Linked DNA regions of Oryctolagus cuniculus. The protein of the gene in region 3 interacts with the protein of the main gene of each other region in a biochemical or structural test. Links are inferred from orthologs where the notes say so. Each region holds a gene or a part of one and is shown on either strand. Other genes may lie near its edges.

Region 1 (6,392 bases), on a different chromosome or scaffold from region 3:
GAGGACACCCTCCAGGTGAGAGTCCCATGCCCGGAGTCCCTCCCCGGGCCCCCTGCCACCTACCTCCGGCTTCGGCCTTCACCGTGCCCTTGACGTAGTTGGCCCCGAACACGGGCTGCTTGATCTCACAGTCCTTCATCAGGTAGAAGGGCATCATGAAGGACTGCATGGCGTCCTTGCCCTTGGACAGGAAGATGACCTGGGGCGAGGAGGACGCGGCCATCAGCACCTGGCCACTGCCTGCCCAGCTGGGGCTTCCGGCTGGCTTCCTGTGCGGGGTGTCTGCTCCCGGTGCCGGCTGGCAGCCCAGGGTCCTTCCACACCGCACGCTCCCGTGTCAGCTTTACATAGCCAACGCCTTTTGTGCACTTGGGAGAGACCAGACTCACACGCTCACATGACAAACGCGCCCATCACGGGCCACACTTCAAGGGGGCAGGGAGGGCCAGGCATGTGGCGTGGCAGCCGAGACACCACTGGGTCGCCCACTTCCTACACCAGAGTGCCTGGGTCCAGCCCAAGCTCTGCTCACCATTCCAGCTTCCTGTCCATGTGCACCTGCCCCCCTCGTGAGACCCCCCAGGGCGAGTTCCTGGCTCAACGCCCACACAACGCCCACTGTCGCAGGCATTCGGGAGTGAATCAGCAGATGGGAGGGGCTGCAGGCGTGCTGCCCGAGGGGCGGCCGGGAGCCGGGGGAGTCTCTGGCCTGTGCTGCGCCCACCGGCAAGGGCAGAGTGGCAGGAGCGTCCGAGTCGGGGCCAGGGGCTGCTGTGTCCACACTGCTGCTCGAACCCGGCCTGCGTGCGTGTGGAGAGCCCGCGGGGCGTTAACATCCTGATTGCAGTCTGGGGGTGAAGACGCCACCTTGGATTCCTTTCAACCCCGGCCGTGCAGGGACGGCGTCTCATGGCTCCTCTGCCGTGGCCACGTCCCGGTGATCACGGCCTGAAGACGCGGAGAGGTGTCGTGCTGCTGCAGGCGTGCGCCTTCCAGTCCGGCCGCTCGCTACTGCTTCCCGGGGGCAGGAAGTGCTGAGCCCCTGCCGCCCACGTGGGTCCCAGAGAGCTTCCGGGCTCCCGGCTGTTGTGGGCATTTGGAGGAGGAACCAACGAATGGAAGATCTCTCTCTCTCATGCAAGCACGCTCTGCTTTTTAAGTAGTAAAAATAATCCAAAACAAAAAACAACCCATCCTGACAACGCGCCCTGCTGCTTGTCGCTTGCGGCCGTCTTTCCACTGCCCTCCGCGGCCACGGCCGGCTCCTCCTCTGAGAACATCCGCTCGTGCTCATCTCCAAGCCGGCGTGGGCAGCTGGGAGGCGAGCCGGTTCTGCAATCTGGCGTTTCTCTCTGCAGGACTCGCTGGGCTCGCTGCCCAGGCTGGAGGCTGGAGCCAGGCTACTGCATCCTGTTTACCACGTCCACCACTCCGCGTGAGCACAAAGGCCTCTCCGGCTACTCTCACAGAAACCCAGGCTGGACGACCAGGCCGCCGGCCTCCAGGCGGCACCCCGGGGTAAGCTCCGATTCACTGCCCAGCAGCCCATTCGGCTGTAGTCGGCCCGGGGTCCGGGAGCACGGGACAGAGGAACGGGCGGAGGGAAGCCCCTCAACCCGCAGGCTGAGGCTGACCTACGACCGGGACTCACCTACCCCTGAGCCCCCAGACCCACGGCGCCGCTGAGCAACTCACCCGGTAAGGGGTAAGGTAGACCGTGCCTTTCTTGGTCCCTTTGAAGGCTTCTGGCACATTCTTCATGTCATTGAACGTGAGTTCCACATGATCATAGGACATCAGGATGCTGTGGCCAGGGGAGGGGAGAGGCCCGGATGAGACACTGCAGAGGTGGGATCTGGGACCCGGCACTGGGCCCTCCTCACAGTGCAAGGAAGGGGCTCACGCAGCCGAGCAGGGTCCCCCGCAGCCACGTGGCCACTCCAGCCTGCAGGCGGGGCATCATCTGGGCCTTTCCTAGGTCCCTTTCTGTCACCTGAGCAGAGCACACGTGTCTGAGTCCCGGGCATGACGCCACACCTCTCAAACGGCTCCCTCCGGGGTTCTTGGTCTGCGGGGACACCTGACCACGAAGCCCCAGGACGATCCTGCGTGTGCGCTTTCCTGGGAGGAACCCACTATTCTACACATCCAGTGTTAAACACCAGGCTCAGTTACAGACACAACTTCCTCCTCCAACAAGGCCACTGCGATGGGCGTTCAGCCTGGTGGCTAAGGCGCCACCCTGGGGACACCGCACTGCGTATGGGAGAGCCTGGACCCAGTCCTGGTCCCCACTCCCGACTGGGAGGCAGCAGCGGCGGCTCTGGTGATGGGGTCCCCGTCACGCACGTGGGAGACCTGGACCCCTGGCCCCGCACTGGCTGCTGTGGGCATTCGGGGCAGATCAGCGGATGGGAGTCTCTCAAAAACAACAAAGCACTAAGTACAGGCACACTGAGCCCCGCGGGGGGGGGGGGGGGGGGCGGGCCCAGCAGGACGTCGTTCCGGTCCCAGACAGATACATTTTAAGTCCCCCTTAGAAAGACAAAGTCCCAGGAGATCAAGCGATGTTAGGCAGAGGCTCCAGACACAACACGCCCGTCTGTAACCTGAGGCCACTCTGACTACGCGATAGAAAAGCTCCAAGTTCAGCCCCATCTGGCTCCCCCCCCTTCCCAAATATTACAACTTTCTCCACTGGGGGGGGGGGCGTAGCAGCAGGGAGGAGGGCGGCCCAGAGGAAGACGTGCCCAGCGGCCAGCTGGTGTTAGTGCCCAGCGGCCGAGCAGGTGGGTGCAGGGAGAGCAAGCTCCCTGGGGTCCAGGGCACCCCGCAGTCTCCCCTGGCAGGGCCCGGGCTGGGTGCTGTCCGGGCTGGCACGGCTCTCCCTGCACCCTGTCCGCCCTGGAGACCAAGGCTGCTCCTCGGTTCCTTCTGCCTTCGAGAGCGAACCAGGCTCGGCGTGGCTCAAGCCAGGCCTGGCTGGCCAATGCCCCAGGCCTAGGGGGCAGGAGAGGCCACCCAGAGGATGGAAGGAGGGGAGCGATGCCCTGAGCAGGGGCGGGGAGCAGGACCAGCCCTGACCCTGGCGGCGACCCAGGCCAGCAGGCCTTCGCGACAAAGTGGCCCGGTGGGTGGTAACCTTTACAAGGACCTACTCGCGAGCCGGGACATCCGCCCTCGGGGCCCTCAGCCTCTCGCCTGGCCCTAAGCCTGGCCGTGAAGCCCGGGTGGACTCCTCTCCTGCAGCGCCCGTCTGCGCGGCTCAGCGCCCGGAGCTCCGGCAGTGGCGCGCCCACCTCCGGGCGCTCCATTCGCCCCACCGGGCCCCGCGTAGGGCAGGAAGTTTGCCGCGCGGGGGTCGGCGCCCACCAGCCGGCCGAGGCCCCGGGCCCCGCACGTAGTAAGGGAGTCAACACTCAGCAATGGCAATGTTTGCGCCAGGCTCCTCCCAGCTCCCGGGGAAGGCGCCCGACAGCCACCCCCGGGCCTCCCCACCCGCCGCCCCTGGGATCGCAACACCGCAGCCCCCCACGGGCCCGCCCCCAGCCGTCACTCCTCCTCGGCGCTCCACCAGTCCGCCCCCGCAGGGGTCTACTCCCCACCGCCCACCCCCGGACACCCGCCCCGCTGTCCTCCGGGGTCCTGCCGCGGAGTTTTCACCTCTCCGTGTTGTTGACGATCACTCCGCCGCCCTCCGAGTGATTCTTGTTGAGCGCCATAGTCTCTCCGAGAGGGGTCCCGAGACTCAAACCGCAGTACGCTTGCGCCCCACTTCGGCCCGCCCCTAGTGGCGTCGTTCTTATTAGAACCAGCCAATCACAGCTCCTGCACGGAGGCTGGCCCAACCACCTGATCCCGGGCGTCACGTGGTAATAGTTTATTCCTTCTCCCTCTCCCCCGAGTTCCGCCTGCGTCACAAACAAGTTGGAGACTACAATTCCCAGTAGGCAGTTCGCCCTCAGCCTGGCCCGGTCCCTACGCTGATGAAAGAGATGCGTTCTGGAAATACATTCTGGGACTTGTAGTCTTCTAGACCACAGGCTAGGATCGACGCTGTGGTTTGCGTAAACAATCGGACTGTGCGCGTCCCCAGAAGGCTGGGAATAAACAGTTTAGCTTCTTCCTGGGGTAGGGGCTTCATCCTAAAGGCCACGGGCGCGTATTAATAAGGCCTACAAGGACAGAATATGGGCCCTGGGGCTGGGGCCCAAGGCCCAGTTTCCCTAGGAAAACACGGCCACCCCTTTAACCAGTCAAGCCCAGGCTCTCCGAGGTGGGCTGCGAGGACGCAGTGGGGAGGGGAGACTCACTGCCCCCGCCTCCGCCATCCCCTCCCCACCCCCTCCACTCCTCCCTCCCCTCTCCTCCCCTCTTTATCCCCTCCCCCCTCTTCTCCTCCCCTCCCCTCTACTCCCCTCTTTATCCCCTCCCCCCTCTTCTCCTCCCCTCTTTATCCCCTCCCCCCACCCCTCCCTCCCCTCGTCCCCCTCCCCTCTCTTCTCCTCCCCTCCCCTCCCCTCTTTATCCCCTCTCCCCCTCCCCACCCCTCCCTCCCCTCGTCCCCCTCCCCTCTCTTCTCCCCTCCCCTCTCGCGGTGGGGCCGGGGTCCCTCGGGCTCCCTCCTCGCCGCCGACTCCACCGCAGCTGGCCTCGCGGTGGCGCTGCCCGCTCTAGAATGTTCTGCCTGGCAGCCCCAGCCAGCCCGGCCCCTGCCTGGAAAATTTCAACCAGACGGAGTCCCTGAAACCAGGCGGAGTGCGAGGCCGGCAGCCAGACACCGGGGCTTCCAAAGCTGGGCTGGCTCAGAGAAGCTGTGATTCCAGCGGCCCAGGGGCAGGCGGCGTCCAGAGTCCATTCCGGGAATGGTTAATCTCACGGGTCAGAGTTTGGTTGCCTTAGCTTTGAAAGCGATTGCGTCCCGAGGACCGCGTCACGGGGAAGATCCTGACACAGCAGCCTCGTGCGATCCTGTGCCAGGCCGGGCCGCACCTCGCAGGGCCTGGGCTGGGCACTGAGCGGGTCCCGGTGACGGCCGCCCCACGTGGTCGGGCCGGTTTGGCAGGTGCCATCTCTATAGCCCATGTAAAGAACTCATTTGTATTTTTAAAAAACAGGGCAATGAAGGGGGGCCAGCGTTGTGGCACCATCCTGCGACCCCGGCATCCTATAAGGACACAGGTTCGGGGGGGGGGGCGGTTCCCGGCTGCCCCACTTCGGATCCAGCTCCCTGCTAATGAGCCTGGGAAAGCAGTGGAAGATGGCCCGAGTGCTTGGATCCCTGCACCCTCGTGGGAGACCAGGATGAAGCTCCTGATGCTTGGTGTTCCTGGCTTAGGCCTGGCCCAGCCCTGGGTGTTGTGTGGATATTTGGGGAGTAATCCAGTAGATGGAGATGGAAGGTGAATCTCTCTCTCTCCTCTCTCCCTGCCTTTCACATTAATAAATTAAAAAAAAGGAGGGGGGAGGGACTCCCCCTGCAGTGGGGCGCTCCATGGAAGGGAGGTAGGGTAGAACCTTCAAGCCCCAACCCCACCCCTTGGCCAAACTAGGGTCCAGCTAGAGGCAAGATGCCATCTGCTGTCACTCCTGAAGTGGCTTCAATAGCTGTAGCTGGACCGAACTGAAGCCAGGAGCCTGGAACTCCATCGCAGGGGGTGCCGGCATCAGCTAACGCACTGGTTAACCCACTGGGACACAACACGGGCCCCCAGCTGCGGGATCGGGGGGGGGGGGGCTGAAGCTCAGCCGGTTTTGGACGGAATACAGGATTGTAGCGCAGGGCGCTGTGGCCACCAGGGGCCTTGTGACCAGAGGAGGAGTGTAGCCACGGGGACCTCCCGGTGGGAGCCATAGCAAGCTTAGGTGATGCCGGCCTGAAGTGTTCGGGGGAGCCACGGCCACACCGCTGCTCCAGGTCCTGGAGACGCCGGCGACCCCAGGGCTGGAGCTGAGGGCCCCGCAGCAGCTCGTTGCTGGACCAAGCCCTTCTGGGCTGGGGTCTCGGGGCTGGAACCTCTTCTCCTCTTTCCTGTCGCTCTGCCTGTGTCCGGTAAGGACCCTTCGTTTCTGAACTGAAGCGTGCGTTCTCCAGGCCAGAGCTGGCTGGCGGAGCGCAGAGAAGGGCGCAGGTGCGCCTGCGACAGAAGCCAGCGGGGGGGGGGGGCTGCGCCCCACAGTCCGCGGCCTCTTGGGTCCCAGCAGCTTCCTCTGTTGGCCTTGTGAGCCGAGCAAACCCGTGTGTGCTGTGACGCGACGAGGTGAGCAGGCTGCTCTCCAGAGACTGGTTCTCAATTTTTACATTCTGACCCACAAGAAGAAATATTTTTAAAGTATGAATTATTTATCTGGGGGGAAGCTCGTGTTCCCCGGTTCACCCTCTAAATGCATAT
Region 2 (6,356 bases), on a different chromosome or scaffold from region 3:
AAGCATTCGCACCACCACCCGCAGGCGCAGCCCGCGCCCCCGCAGCCCCCGCAGCCGGCGCCGCCGCCCGCCGCGGGCCCGCGGCTGCCCCCGGAGGAGCTGGTCCAGGTAGGAAGAGCCGCCTCCCTCTCGGGGCTCGGGCGTGTCCCGCCGCTGCGACGCGCGGGCGACAGGGGCCGCTCCAGGCTGGGGCTTGCGTCGGGGCGCACCGGGAGCCGCTCGGTGCCCCGCCCTGCCCTCCTGGCCGGGCACCCCGTTTCGCAGCTAGTAAATGTCGGGGGGGGGTGGTGGTCGCGGGAAGTCAGTGTCCCGGTGGGTATCCCCCCCCGGGGGGGGGGCGGGTGCTCCCGCGCACCTTACTTAGTTGTTTTCCTCACGTTTGGGGGGGATGAACCCCCGTACCCTGCGCGCACAACTTAAATGACGCCTTCTCGGCGGCCGTCAACCGCCCCCCCCTCGCCCCGCCATCGCCGCCGTCTCGGGTTGAGGCTGAAACGCAGCTTGGGGTGCCGGGGAGGGGAGGCTCCACCTGCTCTCTCCCGCGATCGCGGGGCCGTGTCCGGGAAACGGGCGTTAGCGCAGCTAGGAGGTTGGATCGCAGCGCTGATTCGAAAAAAACGAGACGGGGAAAAAAAAAAAAAAAAGACCGGGAGTGTGGCGTTTTGTGCGTGTACGCGTAAATTTCCTCCCGGGCCGCGCCGAGAGCTGGCAGTTGGCGCTTACACTTGCCCGGCAGCCGAATTAGAGCAACCGCCTGTTTCTCTCGCCCACGCAAGGGAGTCATATAGCCCAGAAAAAACTTCCCGGGACTTTTAGCCTGTCCCAAGGAAGGGGAAAAAAAAAATTGGAAGCATACCCACATGCAAACAGCTGGAAGAGCTAAAATCAGAAACCACTAACCGCCGCGGGAGCGCGGTGCGCGAAAGGGTTTAGCTGGGTTTATTTCCAGAGCCGGTCCTGGCCCCTCGGTGCGGGGTGTGTGTGCCCCCCAGCGCCTGGCCCGGGCTCCGCCGGCCTCCGCGGGCGCACGGAGGCCAGTGGCGTTGGTCGGGGATGTGACTCACATGACTGGGCGTCCGTTTTTATTTTTAAATCGTGTCTATCCGGGAAATCCCGGCCTCATCCACACTGAATGATCTTGTAGTCCCGAGATGAAACGCTTTTGAAATTAAGCGGTGGCAGAAAATGACTGTCTTATCTACCGATCGAGGTGCCGTGGTTGCTAGTTATGGGAGCCCTGCCATCTAGTTGTGTGTTTCTTTGAGAATTTCCTGTTCCATGTTAAAAATTGGGGGGGGGGGGGGCTTATGTTATTCTAGGAGAAAAGATAGCTGTGAAAAGACTGAGGGCAGCTTGTTACTAGCTGGATCATGTTCTTAAAAAAAATCACCCCTTGAAAACTATGTGGTTATTTGAGTTTGTCACTCTCCTGCCTAGGAGATACCTAGAGGATAAGGCATGACTGAGCTTTTTGCAGAGAGAGGGGGAATGTAGCGCCGGCCCACTGGGGAGGACATGATAAATGTTTGGCTGATGACTGTGCTAGCCCATCAGCAGCCTCTCCCCACCTACCCGGCTACCAAGGGAGTGATTTCCCCCTAGGTAATTAAAGATCTGTTTGAGATAGGGATATGAATAGGAACATTTCATTATCATATTAACCAATTACCGAATCTACTGATTAAAATCAACATTTAGATCAAATGCTAAATGTGAAACTGTTTTGTTTCAGTGGATACTGTGTTTTGCCAAAACATTGTATTTAGGTTTCCATTAAATCGTAAACAAGAAGAGGCACTGAACTAGCTGAAGAATGTTTTAGATGAGGTATTTCAGAAATACCTTGCCAAGCAAAAAAAAAAAAAAAAAACTGCAAACAAGATTTGTAGAGTTGTGCGAGTGTAAGAATGTTAAGCTTAACTAGAATTGAGGTAGTTTGGCAATATTTCATTACTGCCCTCGTACTTGAATTGCACACTTGACTGTGTAATGGGGCAGGGAATCCTGTTTGTCCTACTATTGCATCACAGAGGAATATGATTTCTGTTTGCTTCCTTTTTTTTCTTGATTTGCCTTTTTTTTTTCACTTTTTTTGTCTGGGACTGATAAAGGGGAGCGATTTTTATCAAATGCATGTTAGAGTTTCATAAGGTTTTGGTGAACCAGTTATTACACAATTGACAAAATAAACCTGGTCCATTTATAAGCAACACTTAGGAGTTTGTCCTAGTACTTTATGTCGGGATTGGAGGGTGTAAGAGGTTTTTTAAAAAGAGCACGTTTGAATCAGGTGGATTATGCGTGTTTGTGTCTCTTCTTTTTTAGACAAGATGTGAAATGGAAAAGTATCTGACACCTCAGCTGCCTCCAGTTCCAATAATTCCAGAACATAAAAAGTATAGACGAGACAGTGCCTCGGTGGTAGACCAGTTCTTCACTGACAGTGAAGGGCTGCCTTACAGTATCAACATGAACGTCTTCCTCCCTGACATCACTCACCTGAGAACTGGCCTCTACAAGTCCCAGAGACCGTGCGTAACACACATCAAGACAGAGCCTGTTACCATTTTCAGCCACCAGAGTGAAACAACCGCCCCTCCTCCGGCCCCGACCCAGGCCCTCCCCGAGTTCACCAGTATTTTCAGCTCCCACCAGGCCGCAGCTCCAGAGGTGAACAATATCTTCATCAAACAAGAACTTCCTACACCAGATCTTCATCTTTCTGTCCCTCCCCAGCAGGGCCACCTGTACCAGCTGCTGAACACACCGGATCTAGATATGCCCAGTTCTACAAACCAGACAGCAGTGATGGACACTCTCAATGTTTCTATGTCAGCCGCCATGGCAGGCCTGAACACACACACCTCTGCCGTTCCACAGACTGCAATGAAACAGTTCCAGGGCATGCCCCCTTGCACATACACAATGCCAAGTCAGTTTCTGCCACAACAGGCCACTTACTTTCCCCCATCACCACCGAGCTCAGAGCCTGGAAGTCCTGATAGACAAGCAGAGATGCTCCAGAATTTAACCCCACCGCCATCCTATGCTGCTACCATTGCTTCCAAGCTGGCAATTCACAATCCAAATTTACCTGCCACCCTGCCAGTCAATTCGCAAAACATCCAACCCGTCAGATACAATAGAAGGAGTAACCCCGACCTGGAGAAACGCCGCATCCACTACTGCGATTACCCTGGTATGTCATCTACACTGGGGTGGAGCGACAATCAATAGTGTTTGTGTGTCTGTACAGGTGTGCAGTTGTGTCTCTTCCAAACTCAGACCTTACATTTATATAGGAACCTTGACAGTAACACCTACGTTGTTCATTTCATACCCTGTTTTTGTGCTTTACTGTGGTATGAAACAAGTTAGTAGTCTATTGCTTATTTTTATATATTTAAAAAATGTCTAGAATACTCTGGAGAAAAGTTATCTTGAACTTTTTTCTCTTCAGCAGTACATTTGAGTTTCACACACATTACAGAGTTTACATTTACTTTAAGATAATCTAATGAATTGCAGTTTTTTATTATAGATTAAGTGCCTGGAAAAATATTGGGGGGGGTGAAATATTGTGTAGAAATGAAACGGGCGCTGTGGACAGCTAGCTGATAACAGCTACGAGACGGTCCAGGGTAGATTTATGGTAGCTTCTGATAGCATATGCTCATTCTTGAATGAGGGATGCAGCTGAAAATATAAATTGATGACAGTAATGAGTATATTTACAAGTTGCTGGCGTAAGCTAGTTTATGTTTAATACAGGGCATAATTTATTGACTATGGTACATGATATGGCATGACGTGCTAAATGAAAAAACAAGAAATGTCGGAGTACAGAAAATTGTAGTCATCTTAGATAATGGCTTAGCATTGTAGTTCTAGAGCCATTGAAATTTTTTAAAAAACATACTATAGTAGCTGTTAGTTGCTGAACTGTGTGTTGCTAGTATAACCTACCTACTGGAATATAAACACAAACGTTCTATTTGTAGTTTGGCCCGATTTTGTGTGTTCTTTCCTACTAAGGCGATAGATGAAACCGATCACTTTATGCCTTTAATAAGATAATGGGGGAGCACGCAAAGACTTTTAAAACTGAAACTTCAAATATCTCATCTAGCACTAGAGATTTCTTCTTTAAAGTCAGATTTTAAAGACTGAATCATCAGATGTAAAGGTTTCAAAAGGCTCTGCGAAATGACAAGCTGTTCTTCTCCTTCATTTTAGGCTGCACAAAAGTTTATACAAAGTCTTCTCATTTAAAAGCTCACCTGAGGACTCACACTGGTATGTAATTTTCTTGTTAATACTGGGAGTTGTGTAAATAGTGTAAGTGGTATTCATCCTTTTAAAAGCCAACACGTGTTTGATCTCTTCTTTCTTCTGTCAACTTTTATTTTTTAATGGCCTACCTTTTCAGTACTGGCTTGGCTCAAAATTCAGTTCCATGAAAAAGTCTGGTTCCAGGAAGGCTGATGTTCCCTCACTAACGCCTTGCCTGTCACCTCACATAGGATTAATTACTGAAAAATCTAAACAACGATGTTTACTAATGGACTTTAAAACTTTTAATGGCACTGCTGGTTCAGTCTTGAGGGGGGGAAAATGAAATTAATTTTCTTCCTTTGTAGCAAATCATTTTGCTTCCACAGAGCCACTGTGAACACCAAAAACCTTTCCACCTGGCATGTGCGCTATGGCTGCTGAGCGGTGTCTGTTATCTCTGATTTCACGTTTAGTGTGAAATACCTGTTTCACGTATTTTCTGTACTTGCTGAAAGGTAGGGCTGAAATTGCCGAGTATTAAAGTCAAGTGGTTAGAAATGGGGTAATATTTTAAAAATTATTCTACAAATTGGATTCTACAAATTGGGTATATTTATTTGAGAGATTTCATCTTTGTTTAAAATGTACTTTTAACTATAGCCCCTTTCATTTTAAAAGTGTCTGCTTGTTTTGTTAAATCCACGATAGTCACTTTTCAGAGACTTAATTTTAAAATGCATTTTAAGGTGAAACTAGGTGGCATACTTCATGAAACGCGTCCAAATACCCAAAATATTTTTTAATATATAGATGGTTACTCCTTGTAATTTTCTTAAAAGAACAGCCCTAAAGCAAAGAACTTATATAAAGTGACTGTTTTCCCTTCAATAAATGCAGCCTTACCTAAAGTTCAAAGAATAAGTTTGCTAATAAAAGCAATGACCTAGCAAAATGTATTATTCCATCATTGCTATGGAAACCAAAGTATTCAACAGTTCCTTTGAATGGGTTGTTGGATTAGTGTGAGGACTTGAATCTCCCCAGGCTAGATGTTACTATGGAAATTGAGTTTTGATAAATGAAGTAGTTATCTCTAACTGCTACATTAAAAAGTAAAAGCCTTTGAACAAAGGTCAGTGCTGAGATAGAGTCCTGAGAGGAACATGGTTGCAGACATTTTGTGTGCATGTTAGAATTGCTTGATATCCCAGTGATAAACACTACTTATTAAAATCAGAGTAATATCGGCGACAATGGTGGTAGGTTACAAGACTTTTTGAGAAACCGCTTTTAAAGAAAAGCCATTTCCTCTATCTATGAAATGAATGGGTTATTTTGGTCTCGGGTTTTTAAATATAGACAAATTGATCATGTGAAAGGAAAGATTCTATTATGTAAGCAACTCAAGGTAGAAATTATGGTTCAACACCCACAAAAAAGAACCAAAAATGAATGGGCTGCCCTTGGGGAAAAGGATCTAAGCTTTATGGCTTGTCCCTACTTACACATTTTTGTTTAAATTATTTAAATAGGAAACACAGGTCTGTGGCTTTAAAAATGATGCCTCAGAAGGCACAAAAGGATTTGTGTCATTTTTTATTTAAAGCAATACTGTATCAACATCAAATCATTAGAACCAATTTCTTAAAAAAAGCCCACAAAATAAACATGTTATAAAAACTTAAATATGAGCCGGCGCCGTGGCTCAATAGGCTAATCCTCCACCTTGCGGCGCCGGCACACCGGGTTCTAGTCCCGGTCGGGGCGCCGGATTCTGTCCCGGTTGCCCCTCTTCCAGGCCAGCTCTCTGCTATGGCCAGGGAGTGCAGTGGAGGATGGCCCAGGTGCTTGGGCCCTGCACCCCATGGGAGACCAGGAAAAGCACCTGGCTCCTGGCTCCTGCCATCGGATCAGCGTGGTGCGCCGGCTGCAGTGGCGGCCATTGGAGGGTGAACCAACGGCAAAGGAAGACCTTTCTCTCTCTGTCTCTCTCTCTCACTGTCCACTCTGCCTATAAAAAAAAAAAAAAAAAAAAAAAAAAAAAAAAAAAAAAAAACTTAAATATAAAGATTTCAAGATAC
Region 3 (6,429 bases):
TTTTTTACAATATCATGTGGCAGTATTATATCAATTTTCTAGCTGAGGTATAATCAGATTAAGTAACTTGGGCTAATCTCATAGTTTGTAGGCGACAACAGGGTTGGCTTATCCATTAAGCCTAGCAGGCACAGTGCCACAGGCTCACAATACTTGCACAGCCCATAAAAAAATTCTAATTTCTATTAAAACTAGGAGATAAAAAAATATAAACGTTTAGGTCAAAGAAAATATGTTAATGTGTAATAGTAATATAATTGTCTTTATACCAAAGCAGTGCGGAAGCACAACTTGTAATATTAATATAATTTACAATATTATTTCATGGAGGAAGAGGCCCACAAAGGTAAAAGTGCCCCGGGTCCTGAAAGTTAGGTTGGCAGAGCTGTTTTGATCACAGGTAATGTGACATTTGGACACATGCTCTTCCTAGAAGTCAACTTGTCAATTAGTTACAAAAGGACTAAACTTGTTCATATTTTCAATCACTTTGTAAGAAGTAACCTATGACAACAAATAAGGACATAGATAATGACTTGGGAAAACATATATATATATATATATATATATATATATAACAGTGTGCATTGGAAACCAAAGGAACATTCCATAATGAAAGAAAAATGGTTCACTACTGGGTATCAATTTAGTGGGCTAGATGAACTCTAGGCGCTTCTGTACAGAAACAAGCTGAGTGGGAAACTGAGCAACTGGGGGAGCTGAACGTGAGACAGAGAAGAGCAGGAAGCAGAAGGAAGCCAGCATGCACTCTGGAGGAGGGCAGATCTTGCTGGGAATTCTTAGGGAATTGCTGGGTGGGTTGGCGGGTGGGGGGGGGGGCGGTGAGTTGCAAATTCGTGGTGACATCTATTTAAAGGGACTGTTACGCAAAACGAAGAGGGCAAATCAGAGGACATCGTGGTTAAAGCACAGAGATGAGTGAGTACATTCAGGGAAGCGGAAGGAGTTTTTCCTAAGAGGAGGAACAGAGTATATGAGCATGAAAAGGGGCTTGACTATCGCGGTAACCTTCCTCAGGAAAGCTAGGAAGAGCCAAAGAATGAAGCAGCGGGGTGAGCGACGAGCTCAGACGGGCATTCAGAATGATCTTCGGGGATTCAATGGGGACCAAATTCAGGTGTGAAGGCAGAGGTCAGCACTCCTGCCCCGGAGTGGAAGGAAATGTGCATGTGTCCCACCAGGAGGTATTTATTGGATCCCACAAATATTCGTGGAGTGGCATCAACAATGACACTGCCACTCTACGAAAAGCTCTGTTGTGACAAAAGAAGAGAGAGCAGGAAGGGAGTTTTAAAGTCAATGGAAAGTTTAGGTGAGAAAAGTCTTAAAACATGGTTATGCTAACAGGTGAGGTTAGAGAAGTGCCAGGAAGGGTCCCGAGAGGGAGCAGAGCGCAGGTTCGCTTGGGAGAGTAGCAGGGACACCAAGCCTCTGAGAGTGTGGACGTAGGTAATTTGTTGGGGTAGGTGAGGTGTTTGGGCAAACACTCGAGAAATTCATGCATGAGTAATGTGGCCCTTACTCACTTGTATTTGCTCGGCCTTCTAAAAGCAATACACGGGCACTTCCCTAAACAGGCTGACTCGGCGTGAATGATGGAAATAATAGACGCTACCTGATGAGACTGTTATGGGGACTAATTGCGCTGACACATACTCTTGTTCAACATGTATTAGCTTTATCACTGGGCTGACGTGGGCAGGGGTGGGTTGTGAACGTTTTGATTACCAATATACAGAAATTGCAAGTCTTCTGGTATGTCTATCTTCTAAATGCATGTACTTTGGCAACGGGCTCTAAGTCAAGCACTCAGCTAGGTCAAGCAGACTTTATTAACAGCCTGCTTTCGCTGTAAGGCGTTCGTAAAAAAGGACGCCAGTGCCCTAAGGAGCCTGCTTGAGGTCACGCGCAGGTTGGGCCGAGTACCGGAAAGTCAAGTCAGCAGTACCTAGCACTGGCTTAAAGCCTCTTCCCAAACCTCTGCGGAAGCCCCACCCCTTTCACAGGTCCAGGCCACGCCCCCTTCCCCTATTGGCTGGCCCGCCCCCGCCCCCCCACACGAGTCGATCGCTCAGAAGACCCGGAGGAGTGGCCCTTCTAAAGGCGGCGGGGGTGCCCTTGCTGCGCATGCTCGCAAATCCGCCGGATTCCGGCTCCGGAGTTGGAGTCTTTAGGTGGCCGCTGCGTAGCGCGGTGCCCGGGCGGGTGGAGGGGGCGCGCGCTCTGGGCGCGGCGCCGGTGACGCGGGCACGCGGCGTGCTCCCGAGGAAGGGAGGTGTGGGGTCGACTCGGGGGTGGCGCGTGGCCGGGGTGGGGGTGGGGGGAGGGTCGGGTGTCGGCAAACGCGGCGTGCGGGTTTCGAGTGGCTGCAGGCGGCCTGGGCTGCCGGGGCCGACGCCTGGGTGGCTGCCGCTGCCGCTGCCGCCGCCGCCGCCGCGCCTGCTGCGAGATGGCGATCTTAGGCGCGGAAGGTTGAGGGCGCCCGCCGCGGGAGGAGGCGCCGCAGCTGTGGCCGTCCGCTGCCGGGCGCCGGCAGCTTCGCGCAGGGTAAGGACGCCGGGGCGGGGGGCGCGGGGCGCGGGCCCGGAGCCTCGGCCGCGGTGTGGGGAGTCCGGCGCCGACCGCCCCCGGGCGGGACTCTCTCTCTCTCTCTCTCTCTCTCTCTCTCGGGGCCGTCGGGGGACAGTTCGCGCCGCCGTGTCTGCCTTCTCCAGCCCGGGGGGCCTGGAGTTTTCTGGGCTTGGGTCACGGGTCTTGCCCGGAGTTGGCCCTGGCACAGGCCTGGGCGAATGATCCTGGAGCGGGGCGAAGTGTTTCCGTGACTCTGCAGCCGCAGTTCCCCGTTCCCTTCGCCTTCTCGTCTGCTGCTTCTACGTTTCTGCCTCACACCTCCCTCAAAGCACGGACTCCCTGCCCGTGCCCTGACTTTCACCCCCTTCCGCCGTCCCAAACCAAGGACTCCAGTCTCAGAACGTCTCTTTCTGACGTGCTTTTTTTTTTTTTTTTAAATCTGGCTTTTCCACTGATTCCGCAGCCACCCCCCCCCCCAACACAACCCCCACCTCTACCTTTTGTGACCTGGTAGATCTCAGTGACCTTGCAGATTTTGCCAGTCCCAGCCTCACGTGTGACTTCAATCCCCTTCTTTAATCTTTTTTTTTTTTTTTGAGGGGTGGTAGTGGTGGTGGTAAATTTAAATTGATACTTTGTCCATTGCTTTTACAACATTTAAATTGCCAGCCTCATATGCACAAGGACTGTGCAGAGCTTTTCTTTACTCCGTGGATGTGGAGTTGACTTTCTTTTGCTCCGGTAATTACGTGAGAGCTTCGTTTCCAAAAAGCAAAAACAAAAAACACACACCAAAAAAACAGTAGTTATCTATGTATAAATTTGATGTTTTTACTCCTTAAAGACAGAATATTTTGTAAGGGCTTGCTTTAGTTTTCCTTTTTTTATTTGGAAAGATTTTAATCTTTTTTGTGTGTAGGCTCATATGCATAAAGATTGGAGTTTTTGCTTTAAGATGCTAATGGTCATAGTAGCAAAAGCTAATGTCCGAAGTTATCTTTCTTCCCCCTCTCCTCTTTAATATTTTTACCTGAAACACCTGGTTTATAGCTGTCTGCAGGTTTCTACAAGAGTTCATGCTTATGTTTAAATCCATTTTTACCTGTCTCATCAAGTCTGTGTATTATGCAAGCAAAAAATCAGGTTTTAAAAAATAAAGGCATTCTTTTATTTATGTGACTTGTTTTTAGCCATAAAGCAGTATATTGTGTTACTGGAAATTATTATTTTTCATAAATAGTTAATATTTTTAAGTTGAAGATGTTAGTGGCCAAGAGTTGGGAGCTACTTGAACTGAAAAGTGTGAAATGTGTGGAATAGTTCTTTGGAACATAGCTTACAAACATTTCAAAGTGTTTTTCCCATAAAGTGAAGAACTGCTTGTAAGACCCACAACACCATCGTTTTGAAAAGCAGTCCTTACAATGCTTGTTTTTTGGAAGACTAACATGATAGAGGATGTCATAGATAAGGTCTCTGCCTTCAAAGAGATTGTAATCTTTGCTGTTTACCCCAGGACGATTGACATTTCTTTTCCTTCCTTGCACAGTTATTTAGCATCTACTGCATGAGGTATTTTGGGGAATACAAAGAATAATTAACAATTTCTGTCCCCAGTCCTGCGAATAATACACACAAATGCCCCGTTTGTCTTTTAATATATAGTAAAGTTTCATAATGATACAAAAATCCAACCAGAATTTAAATTCAGAAGTGGTAGAGTTGCGATCCTCTGGAAAGGTGCAGTTAGTTAGGAGAACTTCTGGCTTTCTAAATCTTAGTTTTGAAGAATGACTGACATTGGATAGACAGGGAAAGATAATCCAAGCAAAGAGAAGAATCTGAGAGGGCACCAAGTTCATACATCTGGGAAGAGGCACGTAATTATGGTTAAATGGAACACAGAGTTTTTGTACTAGGATAAAGGGTGATAAAGCTTTGGTAAAGGCTTGGGACTAGTTGTGGATTGTTTTTAATGCCATGCTAATGACCTTGAATTTCCTAAGCATTGAGGGCTCCGAAGATAATTTTTAAGTTGGGAGTGAAACAATTTTAGACTATTGTTTTAAGAGGCTTAATCTGGTAGCAGCTTGTATGAGTGGAGGACTAGAGATCCTGGAAGTAGGAACACTTCCTGATTGTCTTAATTGTAGGTGGGGAGGCTCTAAGCTGTTTTGGTAATAGGATTGGAAAGGAAAAAGGAAATAGAATAGCCAGAATTTGAGAGGGATCCAGGTAGATTGGAGGAATAGGACCATTTTGAGCAAGATCCTTGTAGACTTGACCCTCAGTGTTTGTGAGTTACTTTACAACTTTTTGCTGTTTATTAATCCTAACTAAAAAAGCTGCTAGCCTGGAAGACTTCCAGAGGCACAGTGAGGACTCTTCAAAGAGTTTGGAAAATGTGCATTTATTTTTAATTTCTTTTGAGAGACACCGCTCTCAGTTGCTGGTTCATTTCCCCAATGTTTGCAGCTGCAGGCTGGGCCAGGTGGAAACTGGGAGTCAGGAATTTAATCCAGGTCCCCTATGGAGGTGGTAGGGACCCAGCCACTTGAGCCATCACCTGCTGCCTCCCAGAGGCATTAACAGAACTGAAATCAGAGTGGAGCTGGGACTTGAACCCAGGCACTGTGATATGGGATGTGGGTGTCCTAACTGATGGCTTAAGTAGTAGGCCAAGCACCTACTTCACATTATTTTTAATTTTATTTTTGAAGTACTCTTGTATGCCTTATGGATATAATTTTAGGGGAGTCCATGGACCACCTGAAGCTCATTCATGAAACCCCCTTGGCCAGTCAGTTGGGCTGGGGGCTTCTGGGAGCTTTTTAAAATAGCAGAAGCTTCAGATTCTTCCATTCACTGAAAAGAAGACCTACTGTAGAGATAAACTGTGTATAAACCTAGAGACATAGTGTTATGCTTGTGTTGTGGTTGACAGTTTGCAGAGATTTTATACTGTCTCTTGTTATTTTATAGAACAAAGTAGCCAAGAGTATAAATGATTTGCCTTAGAGTTGCTGGTGGGTGAAGTGGAATCAGGAGTGGGGTGACAAAGATGGTTTTCTTTCTTGTATTCAGATAGTACAGCAAATTTACCATTACTTGGAAATACTTACTGCTTTAAGTGACCTCATCAGTAAGGACTAATTGATCCCAGGAAATGACCCTTCCAGCTCTGAACATTTTTAGATTCTTTAGTCTTAGATTTTCATTGTAATATCTGTACGCTTGTTTTCTCTTTGCCTGAAAGCTGGTAGGTCTGAGGAATGAATTGGTGGAGGGAGAGCAGGTAGCATTAGCACACTGATCATCTTGATAACTATTGTCCTGATATCTCTCAGCTTGGGAAGGGAGAGGGAGGTGATGTAAATGAAATAAACTTTAAGGACTTTCTAATCTTTCTGTTCCTATATGCCTTACTTATGAATACTCCTTTCAATCATTCAGGAAGCCCGAAGCAATTGAAAATGGAAACTTTACAGAACAAATGAAATGAGAATTCCTATTCAGTAATTTTTAAAAAAGGATTAAGTAGCTGTCTCTTACTATTATGGTTAAAGCACATTTTGATAAGTGAACAGTTGACATTTTTGTAACTGTTTTGTCTCTCTGGTAGGAAACCACGGCATGTTATTGTTTGTTGTCTGTTATAGTTCTGGAAACTTTGATTCCCTAGTTATTGGGAAGACTGGTCTGTTTAACTCTGCAGAAAAATATTATGTGATAATTAGCAGTGGAAAACCTGATAAATTAACCTTGTACTAGTGTCCAAAGAACTAGTTACTAATGTTTAATGAAGAAAAACTTGTCTGACAGAAACACATTCACAGC

The links.
Region 1: of the proteins of WWP1 (region 3) and WBP2, one has a biochemical effect on the other in vitro, tested with the Homo sapiens proteins (2 studies listed by BioGRID, with this or other methods). The link is inferred for Oryctolagus cuniculus from reciprocal best matches to the Homo sapiens genes WWP1 and WBP2.
Region 2: of the proteins of WWP1 (region 3) and KLF5, one has a biochemical effect on the other in vitro, tested with the Homo sapiens proteins (4 studies listed by BioGRID, with this or other methods). The link is inferred for Oryctolagus cuniculus from reciprocal best matches to the Homo sapiens genes WWP1 and KLF5.

Annotation. Positions count from the first base shown.
Region 1 is NC_091448.1:4,795,113-4,801,504, reverse strand, and holds the start of WBP2 (WW domain-binding protein 2), read right to left. Parts: upstream 4,329-6,392; 5' UTR 3,723-4,328; coding exon 3,664-3,722; intron 1,805-3,663; coding exon 1,696-1,804; intron 200-1,695; coding exon 64-199; intron 1-63. UniProt on the Homo sapiens protein: Acts as a transcriptional coactivator of estrogen and progesterone receptors (ESR1 and PGR) upon hormone activation. In presence of estrogen, binds to ESR1-responsive promoters. Synergizes with YAP1 to enhance PGR activity.
Region 2 is NC_091440.1:39,677,849-39,684,204, reverse strand, and holds the start of KLF5 (Krueppel-like factor 5), read left to right. Parts: upstream 1-2,778; coding exon 2,779-3,199; intron 3,200-4,236; coding exon 4,237-4,296; intron 4,297-6,356. UniProt on the Homo sapiens protein: Transcription factor that binds to GC box promoter elements. Activates the transcription of these genes.
Region 3 is NC_091437.1:111,621,362-111,627,790, forward strand, and holds the start of WWP1 (NEDD4-like E3 ubiquitin-protein ligase WWP1), read left to right. Parts: upstream 1-2,191; 5' UTR 2,192-2,568; intron 2,569-6,429. UniProt on the Homo sapiens protein: E3 ubiquitin-protein ligase which accepts ubiquitin from an E2 ubiquitin-conjugating enzyme in the form of a thioester and then directly transfers the ubiquitin to targeted substrates.